2 linked regions of the Sus scrofa genome follow. The protein of the gene in region 2 purifies or fractionates together with the protein of the main gene of each other region. This does not show direct contact. Links are inferred from orthologs where the notes say so. Each region holds a gene or a part of one and is shown on either strand. Other genes may lie near its edges.

Evidence for each region.
Region 1: the proteins of RSRP1 (region 2) and CPSF6 purify together in Homo sapiens (affinity purification with mass spectrometry; 3 studies listed by BioGRID and IntAct, with this or other methods). This does not show direct contact. The link is inferred for Sus scrofa from reciprocal best matches to the Homo sapiens genes RSRP1 and CPSF6.

The regions. Positions count from the first base shown.
Region 1 is NC_010447.5:33,541,775-33,547,607, reverse strand, and holds part of CPSF6 (cleavage and polyadenylation specificity factor subunit 6), read right to left. Parts: coding exon 5,695-5,833; intron 2,959-5,694; coding exon 2,843-2,958; intron 1,936-2,842; coding exon 1,782-1,935; intron 1-1,781. UniProt on the Homo sapiens protein: Component of the cleavage factor Im (CFIm) complex that functions as an activator of the pre-mRNA 3'-end cleavage and polyadenylation processing required for the maturation of pre-mRNA into functional mRNAs.
Region 2 is NC_010448.4:82,857,312-82,863,666, forward strand, and holds the start of RSRP1 (arginine/serine-rich protein 1), read right to left. Parts: upstream 4,268-6,355; 5' UTR 4,130-4,267; intron 4,097-4,129; exon of another isoform or gene 3,780-4,096; intron 3,640-3,779; exon of another isoform or gene 3,546-3,639; 5' UTR 3,413-3,545; exon of another isoform or gene 3,343-3,412; intron 1-3,342.

The sequences.
Region 1 (5,833 bases), on a different chromosome or scaffold from region 2:
CGATTCGACTCCTAGCCTGGGAACCTCCATATGCCTCGGGAGCAGCCCTAGAAAAGGCAAAAAGACCAAAAAAATAAATAAATAAATAAATAATAAAATAAAATAAATATAAAACTACTACCATTAACATAGCTCACCTAAATCTGTATGTAAGTATCAAATTTCTACTTATAAGTAAGCAAAATATGCTTCATTCAGAGTGCTACTCCACCCAGAAACTTTCTAATCAAATGCATACTTATTTATATGTGCTTAGGGGCTAGGGGTAGGAGTACTGATGTTGAGAAGCATGGTGGGAAGCAGAGAAGAAACTTAGTAAACATGACCACTAGAAAAGATTGGGACACTACTCAAAATGTTTAATAAAGAGAAATGTTTCATGAACTGTCTTTAGAAATAAGACAGGTTCTTTAACCAAAGTATATACCTTAGAAATCCTACTATTCTAAATTCTGAAATTCGAAATAAGGAAATAACTGCCTATTAGTTTAATCTCCACTGTGTATTTCTACACCAGACAGCTTGACTTAGCAAAGATATAGTATAATAAGGTTGTGATCTAGGTAGAAGTGATTACTTTAGACATAAAAAGTTAAAAGATAACAGTCTTTAGCTATGACAAATTTGTTCAAAAGGTAATAAAGTTAGTGACCATGACAAAGATAAATTCCTTTTTCTAACTTAAGAAGACCAGCATCAGAAAAAGTATACTAAAGACAGATTTAAGAATGTTATGTGAAGATTAAAGATCTACCTTTCAAAAATACGTAAAATTTCAAGGTAGTAATAATACCCAAAAAAGGAACTACCTAATTTAAAAAACTAGGGGAGTTCCTATCATGGCTCAGTGCGTTAAGGACCCGACATTGTCTGTGTGAGGATGTCAGCTCCACCCTCGTCGTACTCAGTGGGTTACAGATCCAGAGTTGCCCCAAGCTGTGGCACAGTTTGCAGATGCAGCTCAGATCTGGTATTGCGGCATAGGCCACAGCTATAGCTCCAATTTGATCCCTGGCCCAGGAACTTTCACAAACCACAGGTATGGCCGTAAGGAAGAAAGAATTAAACAACAACAACAACAACAAAAACCCTAGGAAATAGCATTTATTCATTAATGCCCTTGTTCAAGAAATATTTTAGTATCCATTTGGTACCAAGCACTGTTTACTTGGTAAACAAATATTGTAGTGACCAAGACAGTAAGCTCCCTTCCATCTTTAAATGTGTTCAGTGAAAAGAAATGTCCGTTAGTAATAAATAAGAGCACATTACAGTATTACAAAAGAAATAAAGCATGACAGAATTAAGTGGGAGAAGACCCAACCTAGCAAGTTAAATTGAGCTGAAGCATGAAAGATAAGGAGACAGCTATGTGAAGAGTCAGGGAAAAGGGATCTCAGCAGAAGAAATACCAAGTACAAAACCAGTGAGGTGGGTCAAGTGCTTAATGTTCAAGAGGAAGAGAAAGGAAATCAATATGGCTAGAGAATAGTGAGCAAGGGGAGAGGGATACAATGAGGCTGAAAAGATAGGCAGGGACTATATCACAAAGCATTTCAATATTTAGTCTTATTCTAAGAATAACTGGAAGGCTTTGAAGGGTTTTAAGCAAGCAAACATTTGACATTTGATTTAGAGCTTAAATAACAACAACAAAATCACTCTAGCTGCTAAGTTAATAGTAATAAGTAAAATCTAAGGCCTATAAAGGCCCAAGCGCAACATTTTCTTCTACTTGGAAAGTAGAAGTTTTAAACAGACATGAGACAGGAAAGTTTTACCTTGATCCAGAACCATAAGACTTGGATTCAATTCCATGAAGGCAATCTTGCAAAGAGCTAATAAGTACTTTGCAACGATCATCAGCAGATACTTTGGACTGTTTAATTAAAGAAATTGCAGTTACCAATGTCTCAATAGCACTCCCATAATCACCTGTAAGCAAGCAGAAGGAGAGAGGTTGAAGTCAAATAAATTATTTTCAAAATACCACACAGTTATTCGAGGTTAATTATTTTACAAAAGTAATGCCGCTGCAAATAGACTGTAGAAGATACCTAAATTTTTTGTGTTTCAAAATTTGGAAAAGGCTTTAATGCACATGAAATTAATACAATTTGTTACTATTGTAGCTGTGTGAAACAAGTTATCACTTAGCAAACATGAGAATTAATGAGCTGCCTTAAGGTCCCTGAACCATTAAATGTCAGGCTAAGATTTAAATCTATACCTAAAAAATTTAAAATTAGGGCCTTTCCATTACTGTGACATAAAGCTTCCTCCTATGCCTTTTTCCAGACTGCATCTGAAGCATATGGAGTTCCTGGGCTGGGGCTGAATCAGAGATGCAGCTATGGCCTACACCACAGCAATACTGGATCACAGTCACATCTGTGACCCATGCCGCAGTTATGGCAATGCTGGACCCTTAACTCACTAAATGAGGTCAGGGATCAAACCAGCATCCTCACAGAGACAATGCTGTGTCCTTAACCTGCTGAATTCTTCAATGCCTTTTAAAAAAGTACAGATAATGATCTGGAAATAAAAATAATTACTACCACATGTAGATAACCCATCTTCAAGACTGCACTTGAGTTTTAAGTAATTCCTATTGTGGCTCGCTGGGTTAAGAACCTGACTAGTATCCATGAGGATATGGGCTCAATTGTGGGCCTTGCTTAGAGGGTTAAGGATCTGGTGTTGCCACAAGCTGTGGTGCAGGCTGGCAGTTGCAGCTCTGATTTGACCCCTAGCCTGGAAGTTACACATGTTGCAGGTGCGGACCTAAAAAGAATAAAAGAAGTTTTCAAGTCATTAATACAGAAAGAACTATACAAACCAGCACTGGCATCAGACACAGCCCTTGAAATAGCGCTGCTTGAGATTGCCCTATTTCTATTCATGATTTCTTCAAACTCAGCTTCACTCAATGGCGTTCGTGCGGTATCCATTTCCCTATAAAAATCAAAATAAACCTTAAATCATACTCAAAAGATTTTATAAATCAGCCATAACATCATGAAACAATTCAAACAGTTGCTTTTGACAAGTGCTTTAGGGCTAGCAGTTACTTTTTCAGATTCAAATATGCTAGCTTTCCTACAAAGAGAAAGTCTATGCAAAATTCCCTTACGCCATTATCTTTCAGTTGAAACAAAAGCAGCAACTTAGACCAGAAATGACGTATTTACATACCTACAATATACTATTGCTCAGAGTCATACAAAAATATATATAAATTGTTCTGATGTCTCTCTCTCTCCCCCTCTGTATATGTGAACAAAAAATGCTGAATGCAAAAAACACAGTCCTATACGATCAAGAGTGGGAATTCAGTTTCACTTATGCTTAGATCTTCTACGTACAGGGTCCCAACTTACAACAGGATAATAAGTGTGTTTAATAAAATTTCAGGAGGGACAAGATCTTAGATCTTGTTTGCCACTGAATCCCTAGAAGAATATCTGGCAAATAAAAAGTACTAAGAACTTTTTCTGTTGAAAAATATTACTAAAAATCCCAGGATTTTCTAAAGCTGCTGGACAACTTTAAAAATTGGGACTTCAGGAGTTCCTGTCGTGGCTCAGCGAAAACGAATCTGACTGGTATCCATGAGGATGCAGGTTCCATCCCTCACCTCACTCTGTGGGTTAAGGATCTGGCACTGCTGTGAGCTGTGGTATAGGGCAGCATCTACAGCTCTGATTCGACCCCTAGCCTGGGAACCTCTGTATACTGCTGCGGGTGCAGCCCTAAAAAGACCGAACAAACAAACAAACAAACAAAAAAACAAACAAACAAGGTGACTACATATATTGTACAGGCAAAGGTAAACTTTTTGCCATCTTAGTTATTAGTTACTTGGTAGGATGTTAGATTAGGGTAAGCAGTAGTAGTTCATTCCAATGAAATGAGGAAATCACTAATATAACCTTTGGCATGTTTATAAGATATTATTATTCCCCAAATTTTAATTTACAAGTTGTTCAAAATCCATGTATAATTTCAAGCAAATTCTGTGACTCATACCCATCTTATCCTCTAAAAAAATCCCATGTAAGATAATCAGTTTTCTCTAATTTTCAATTAAAAACTACTTAATAATACCTATATACACACACAAATATGCATATTTTTAGAAAACCTAATACTGCAGCAATTCTATCATGCCAGAAAAAGCATATCAGACTCAAGTTTTAAACTGTCAAACCAAGCCACCTAACCTGCTCCTAAACACTATGGGTGAACACTTGATAAGCAGCTGCTCACTGGGCTCACTGGAACTAAACTGAACAGAAGAAAAGTTGTGCTAGCCTCATAGTTACATCACTTTTCAAAAGAAAACTAGCCTTTTCGGTAGTCATAAAGACACAACCTCTATGGATAGATAACTGTCAGTAGATTTTGTTTACAACATCAAATTTATTTTCCTGGCCCTGTGCAATTATATGGAATTAGGCAGATGCTCAAATCCACCCTTGCATGACATCATCAGACAAAATGAAATACAAAGTAGTTCAATAGGGATAATTAAAGAATTCAAAAACAAATGATAAAACTCAAAAGAAAATGAAGGGGGCAAATTCAAATACTTCTTAGAGATTAAGAACAAAGCTCTCCAGATTATGAATTGAATATGCACAGCTTTAAAACTACTTTGAGGAGTTCCCTTGTGGCGCAGTAGGTTAAGGATCCAGTGTTGTCACTGCAGGGGCTAGGGTGGCTGCTGTAGTGTGGGTTGGATCCCTGGCCCAGGAACTTCCACAAGTCCCAGGTTCGGCCAAATAAAGAAAGAAAGAAAACACCTACTCTGAAAGGGGATTTAAGGATCACTTAGTTCCACCATGATTTCATGCAGCTTTTCTCGAAGGATTGCCATTTTAATTTCCACAAAGCCTGTATTTCACAATTGTCTGTCTACCCGAATATGCTTATAAATTACTTAATGTTCCCATTTTAATTTAAAGTTAATAATTTTGCTTAGGACTCCTAATGAGGATGAGATAATCAATAGTATCCATCTAATTCTAATTCCTAAAACAATTAAAAAACTTGAGTGTCATCAGTGGTAAATGAGATTGACTTTTAAATCTTAAAAATAGCTTAAGGATCTCATTTGCTCACTTAAATTATCTTTATTCACCTTTTTTAACTTAAAAAATGATGGAAACAAAGTAACTTGCCCTAAAATCACATGGCTGTATAAGTGGCAGAACTGGATTATTTCCAACCCCGCTCAGTACCCGTTTTTCATTGTATCATACTGTTTCTTCTAAGAGAAAACAATATGAAAATAAAGTATCTGGGGAAAGTTCATAATTTTTTTTAAAAACTTCACTGACAGAATGAAAAATATCTTTTGCAGATCCAACACACCAAGTCTACATTTTTTCTTTCTCTCTCTCTCTTTTTTTTTTTTTTTTTTTTTGTGGCCTCACCTGTGGCATATGGAAGTTCCCGGGCTAAGAGTGGAATTGGACCTGCAGCTGCTGCCTACACCAGAGCCACAATGAATCTGAGCCACATCTGTGACCTATGCTGCAGCTTGTGGCAAGGCTGGATCCTTAACCCAGTGAGCCAGGCCAGGGATTGAACCCACATCCTCATGGACACTACTTTGAGTTCTTAACCCGCTGAGCCACAACAGAAACTCCATACCAAGTCTACTTTCGTAGACACACACTAGCTTACCTTCCGGGAGGCCCATAGTCACCCCTATCATATGGCGGAGGGCGGCCATATGGATCTGTTGGTGGTGGACCCCGGCTATCTGATGTAGGCATGCCGCTGTTAGTTGGTGGAGGAAAGAAAGCCGGGTTCACATGTGGAG
Region 2 (6,355 bases):
ATAGGATGTTTATTTTATTATATGCTGTGGGATAGGTTAAGAAATGATTTAGTAGTTTTTTCCCCTACCAAAATTAAAATTTCTAATTAATTTTAATGACAGCTAATTTTGTAACAAATGAGGAAATCCAAAGATACATAAAAAACTAATAATCCATTCCCTGGAAGCATGGAATCCTCTAAAAGACGCCTCCATTCTTCTTCCCCATAATTTAGAAGTAAGCAACGTTAACATTTTCAAACTCTTTCAAACATAAAAAATATGGTACTTTGTTTTGTTGTTGTTGTTGTTGTTTGTCTTTTTAGGGCCGCAGTGGAGGCATATGGAGGTTCCCAGGGTAGGGGTCTAATCGGAGCTGTAGCTGCCAGCCTACGCCTGAGCATATGCCAGAGCCACAGCAACACCAGAGTCACAGCAACTCCAGATCCAAGCGGCATCTGCAAACTACACCACAGCTCCCAGCAACACCAGATCCTTAACCCACTGATTGAGGCCAGGGATCAAACTTGCATCCTCATGGATCTTAGTTGGGTTTGTTTCCTCTATGCCACAACGGGAACTCCTGTTTTATGTTTTTTGAAGTGTCATTAAAATTTTCATAGAAATCAAGAAGATGGTTTGAAACTCCATTTCTCAAATCCAAGTACCTAAGAGCTAGGGGGAACACTTTTTTATTGCCATGATTCAACACATCACTTGATAATACCATAGAAAGCATGGTCTGACAGGATCAGCTCTACACCGTAAGGAGCCTACACATCTGTAATCAAGATCTCCCCTTTTGTTCGCACACAGGACATTTTACTTGCAACCTCTGAATCTGGAAATATAACTTTATTCAGTTTCACTAAGCAATCAAGGGAGCAATAGGACAAGGCATGTTCATCCTTTCGTGGTATGCCCAAGCTAATTCAGCAGCTGCTATTTTTGACTGAGTGCTGGTGTCCTTCAGGGCAATGAAAACACTGTATTGATTCAAAAGTGCCTGCTTGTCTCATTCCAGACTTGTGGGATTCAGTCTCCATACGTGTTTTCACATCCCCTTCTCCACCATGGCCAACCCCAAATTCTTTTCCTGCATATTGTACAGTATGCTGGATTATTTACATCCCTAATCCAGTGTCCTTCTATCTGTCATTAAAATAACAGAGCCAGAGTTCCCGTCATGGCTCAGTGGTTAACCAACCCAACTAGTATTCATGATGACACAGGTTCGGATCCGGAGTTGCTGTGGCTGTGGCGTAGGCCAGTGGCTACAGCTCCAATTGGACCCCTAGCCTGGGAACCTCCATAGGCCTCGAGTGTGGCCCTAAAAAGAGAGAAAGAGAGAGAGAGAGAGAAAGAAAGAGAGAGAGAGAGAGAGAAAGAGAGAGAAAGAGAGAGAGAGAGGAAGAGAAAGAGAGAAAGAGAGAAAGAAAGAAAGAAAGAAAGAAAGAAAGAAAGAAAGAAGAAGAAAGAAAGAAAAACCAGGGCCATTTAGTCTTCTTTTTGGTACTGTCAGGCTGGCATTGGTATTGAACTCATTCTCATTTTCATATCTGAACTCTTAGAAACCATGGTCTCAATATTCACAAAGTTAAAAATTACATGAGCACTATCTCCATGCAAAGCACAAAAGTTAACTGGCCTGTTAACGCTCCTGTCTGGAATTTAAGCTGCTCTGAGAGAATGCTATGTTATGTAGATATACTATGTGAACCACACAAATCCAGATTGCCGGTATCAGTGGTTAACAGAAGGCAGACAATCACCATATTCATTCATAAAAAAGGGTGTTGTCTTCAGCCTCTCTTGGGAGGGCCACAATATAGGTTTTGTACCCCTGCGCTCCCCTCAAATATTTGCACTCACTGCTGAAAACCAGGGCATTTTCACCCAGGACAGATGTCTTAGAAAATGGGACTTTCGGGAACAGTCCCAATCTGCCCCAGTTGGTTCCCCAAAACAAAGTTCGTTACTGTTCCACTTTCATGAGTGAGAGCCTGTCTACTGTTTTCAGATCTGTTATTTTGACTTTGGCAAATTACATTCAGCTAGGTTTTCTGAGGAGTGTAACCTAAGGTAAATCAAACAAAAATGGTTCACCAGATCTTTCTAAGAGTAGTTTTTCTTAAAGTTTTGTTTGGATAAATCTGGTTTACTTCGAGCTTTGCGGTATTTGGTACAGCTGTTCCACTGTTTCTTTAACTCCAGTAACAGTTCTGAGACTAGCTGGCAGGTCAAGGTTGGCTATTCCTAAGGATTTAGCTGTGCAGGCTTTTGCTAGTGCTAATAGCTCCATTTCATCTACAAAGGAAAAAAACCAAACACTCATTAATTCCATAGAATACCCCCAAAAGGCTAAGAATGACAAATTAAGGATGCACTTTATTATACAAGCAAGATTAAGATGCTCACTTACAAAATATCTGACAGTCTTATGCCAGTAAATTTAAAAAAGAGTGGAGACAGAAAACGCAAAGAGGAAGGAAGATTAATGCGTTCCTCTCACAGTCATTAGTTAACTTATTAAAAGCTGAAGGCAAGATTAATTAAAGCTGTTCAGAGCTGGTAAACTATTGTGTCATTAATAGACATTTAAGGAGTTTCCCATCGTGGCTCAGTGGTTAACGAATCTGACTAGGAACTATGAGGTTGCAGGTTCGATCATTGGCCTTGCTCAGTGGGTTAAGGATCTGGTGCTGGTGTGAGCTGTGGTGTAGGTTGCAGATGTGGCTTGGATCCCGTGTTGCTGTGGCTGTGGTGTAGGCCGGCGGCTACAGCTCCGATTCGACCCCTAGCCTGGGAACCTCCATGTGCCACGAGAGCGGCCCAAGAAATGGCAAAAAGACAAAAAAAAAAAAAAAAAAAAAAGACATTTAAAAGGTTCCATTAAGAACTGCCCTCACTAGATTCCTCCACTGGACCATTTAAAGTCACCATTACTCTTTAATTCCAAGGAATAAGAATGATGTCCCTTTAAAAATAGGCTATGGATTGTTATTGCATAGTTTTGTCTACTAATCACCTAATGCCCATCCCTCACCCAAAGCTGGAGATTTCATACATCAAAAGAAATCAAAGAAATTAAACGACACAAAAACCTTGGTTTCCTCGTCTACTCATACATATACCCCTACATGTAAAAGAGGTGAACCTGTGCGCCTCTCTTAGCGACAAAAAAAACCTTCCTAACCTCTTTTACTTATGTGAAACCGGGTTCTGCTCCGCGACCTCTTCCTGGATCTCTCCCTCCAGGTGCTCTGTTCTTTCGGATACACCACAGGGTAAAAGACCTAGTGCTATCGCCTGCGCGTGATCAAAGAGGCCCTTCTGTAATACGACCTTTCCTGAGAGAGGTACCTCCAGCAGAATAGCGAGCGGCGCCTGTAATTTCTCTTCTGGCGCCTTCAGGAACGAGACTGTGACTTGCCTCTTCTCCGGAGCGGGCTATGACTCTTGTACCACCATCGACTCCACCGAGACGCTGGAATGCGACCGAGAGCTTCTTGGAAGGGACGATCCCAGCCACAAGTCATTCTCTTAGCTGACACCATTGCCTCCGGCTGTGAAAAGGGTCACTTCTTCAGAATCCAGATTATCTCCTAAACATTGGTTCTCAAGCCGGTCGCTTTTCCCCAGGGGCGAGTGTTTGGCAGTCTGGAGACATTTTTGGTTGTTATAAGTGGAGGAAAGCGGGTGATGCAGATTAATCATGCTACAGCAGCACGGGACAGAGGCCCTCCCCCCCGAATTGTCTGGTCCCAAACGTCAGTAATACCTAGGCTCAGAAACCCTACCTTCAAGCAAACTGAAAAAAACGTCAACTCCTAGAAGTGGGTCACCGCGCCGGGACGCACCTGGGTCTCCCAAGTAGCAGGCTAGCAGAACTCGGCGTTACCCGCCTTCCGGGAACCGCCCCTTATAGATGCAAAGTTTCCGCGAGGGCGGGGGCGGCTCTGAGAAAAATTTTAAACAAGACTTAAAAACCGGATTAGAGCTGTTGGGCCAGATCTACCTTCTGCACCGCACCTGAGACAACTACGGAACGGGCTCCAGCACTAGAAGAATAATCACCTCTCTGAAGACTGGATATAAAGCCCAAGCAAACGCCTTCTTTTGAAAGCAAAGAGCAACTTCTCACACCTACCCTTGAAAGCTGCACGCAACTACCATTTCCGACATCCAGCTGTGGACAGAGCGCAGCGGATAGGCCCTAGAGCTGGCGCGTTCCGAGCATGCGCAGAGACACCGGCGTGGTGGGCGTGGCTCTCTGGCTCTTTCTGAGCCCATCTTCCTTCCTTCCCAGGCCTCTTCCTACGCCCGGAGCCGCATGCGCATTCCTGCCCCGGGGGCGGTGCTGTTCGATCCGGGTATCCGGCGGCCTGTGGCTGTTTTGCTTTCTTGGCTGGAACTGGGGAAGTGGGGCAACCCCGCGCGGGGCAACACCGGGTTCCGGACCGACTGCACGGGCGGGGCTGGACGTAAGTGCCAGGCGGGAGTGGGGGAAAGAGAGGCACTGCCGCAGGCCGGATGAAGTGCGGACCCGGGACTGTCTGCCCGGCCGATGCTGACCAGGTCGTTGCGTCCCACCCTCTGGGAAGCTGTAGGCTCAGGCTGTGCCTTCCTGGACCCTTCCTGGCCACTTCCTGCCCACCCGTGTCCCACCCGCGGCGGGAGGGGGCGACCGTGCCTTCCCCGAGGACGTCACAGGATCCCTGAAAATCACCATGCCCCCCTTTAGGGCGAACTGACACTCCGGAAGGGAGTGTAAGCCTGCGGGTTCACTCAGCGAGGGAGGGGGCCGAGCTAGAACTAGTTCCCGCTTCTTCCCAGTCCCAGTCCACTCTACACCTGAAATCCCCAGAGCCTGGAGGGCGGAGTTTGGGCCTGAGTGTGCGGGTAATTAACCGTAGACAAATGGTTTGGGGCGGGGTCACTGGAGTGAACCGAAAATAACATACTGATTGCTTTTCCTCCCAGGGAGGAATAAAAAGAGTGAATTTTCAACATTGGACTTGTCTTAAAGGCATATTAACACTAGTTATAATCACGGTTTTTAATATTTAATTTTTATAGTGTCTAATTTTTATATTTATTTATTTTTGTCTTTTCTTGGGCCGCTCCCAAAACATATGGAGGTTCCCAGGCTAGGGGGTCTAATTGGAGCTGTAACCGCCAGCCTACACCACAGCCACAGCAATGTAGGATCCGAGCAGTGTCTGTGACCTACACCACAGCTCATGGCAACACCGGATCATTAACCCACTGAGCGAGGCCAGGGATCGAACCTGCAACCTCATGGTTCCTAGTCCGATTCATTAACCACTGAGCCACAACGGAACTCCAATATAGTGTCTAATTTTTAAAAGGGAGGCTCCAGCTGGATTCATTGCTCTTTTTTAGGATGTGTTTTTGGGCAACCATGATTGCTGGCTACAGATTAGCTTCACGGACGGTTAAAATTAGCTGCGGGAGTTTGGGTGTTTGATTATTCTTACTATTTTTGGTCTTTTTAGGGCTGTGCCCTTGGCATACGGAAGTTCCCAGGGTTGGTTATTGCTGCACCTCCGCGGGAGCTCCAGTTGGCTTGATTATTAACAAGTTAGACTTAATGCAAACTTTTTCATATTCTGAAATAGTGATAATATGGATATGTCTCAGACCAGGTCTGTATAGCCCAGTTCAAAGGAATGTTTTATGTAGTTGTTATCCGTGGAAATTTATGATAATTTAGCAGTGGATTTTCTTTTTTTTTTATCTGAATTAATATTGACTTAAATTTTGTGCTTTCATTTGACTTGAAAACATCTTAGAATCAGAGATGCTTAAAATTAAATGGGTATTCTTTACATAGAAATAACATGAAAAGACAGGCTTGGAGAAGGAAAAATAATGAAGTGAAAGGATTTGATGTGAGGACAGTGTTTAATTTCCTAATCTGAGTGTGAGATAACATGTTCTTTGATAAAATGTGTTAATTGCTAAGAGAAATATTTTTCATCTGAGTCCATGCTTTAACTCAGAGCCCGTTTTATTGCATGTCTCTCCATTATGCTAGTGTTCCTGGACTGTAAATATCTAAATCATATAATAAATTAGTTTGGAATTAAAAATCATAGAATTTTTTTCAATATTTGAATGCCCAGTTTTGTTTATTGCTTAAAATATACCAAAACCATCTTTTCAATTAAAAAAAAAAGTCTAAATTTTGTTTTCTAAAGTTAGGTGGAAATTCTTCAAAAGCTAAATTAAATATTCTGGGATGTATGTAGCCAAATCAAGTATTTGTAACTTCACTTTTATTAAATTACAGTTAATTATTTTCTGGAAGCCTAAGTTAAGTTTGAAGCAAATAAATAGAAATACTTGGTTT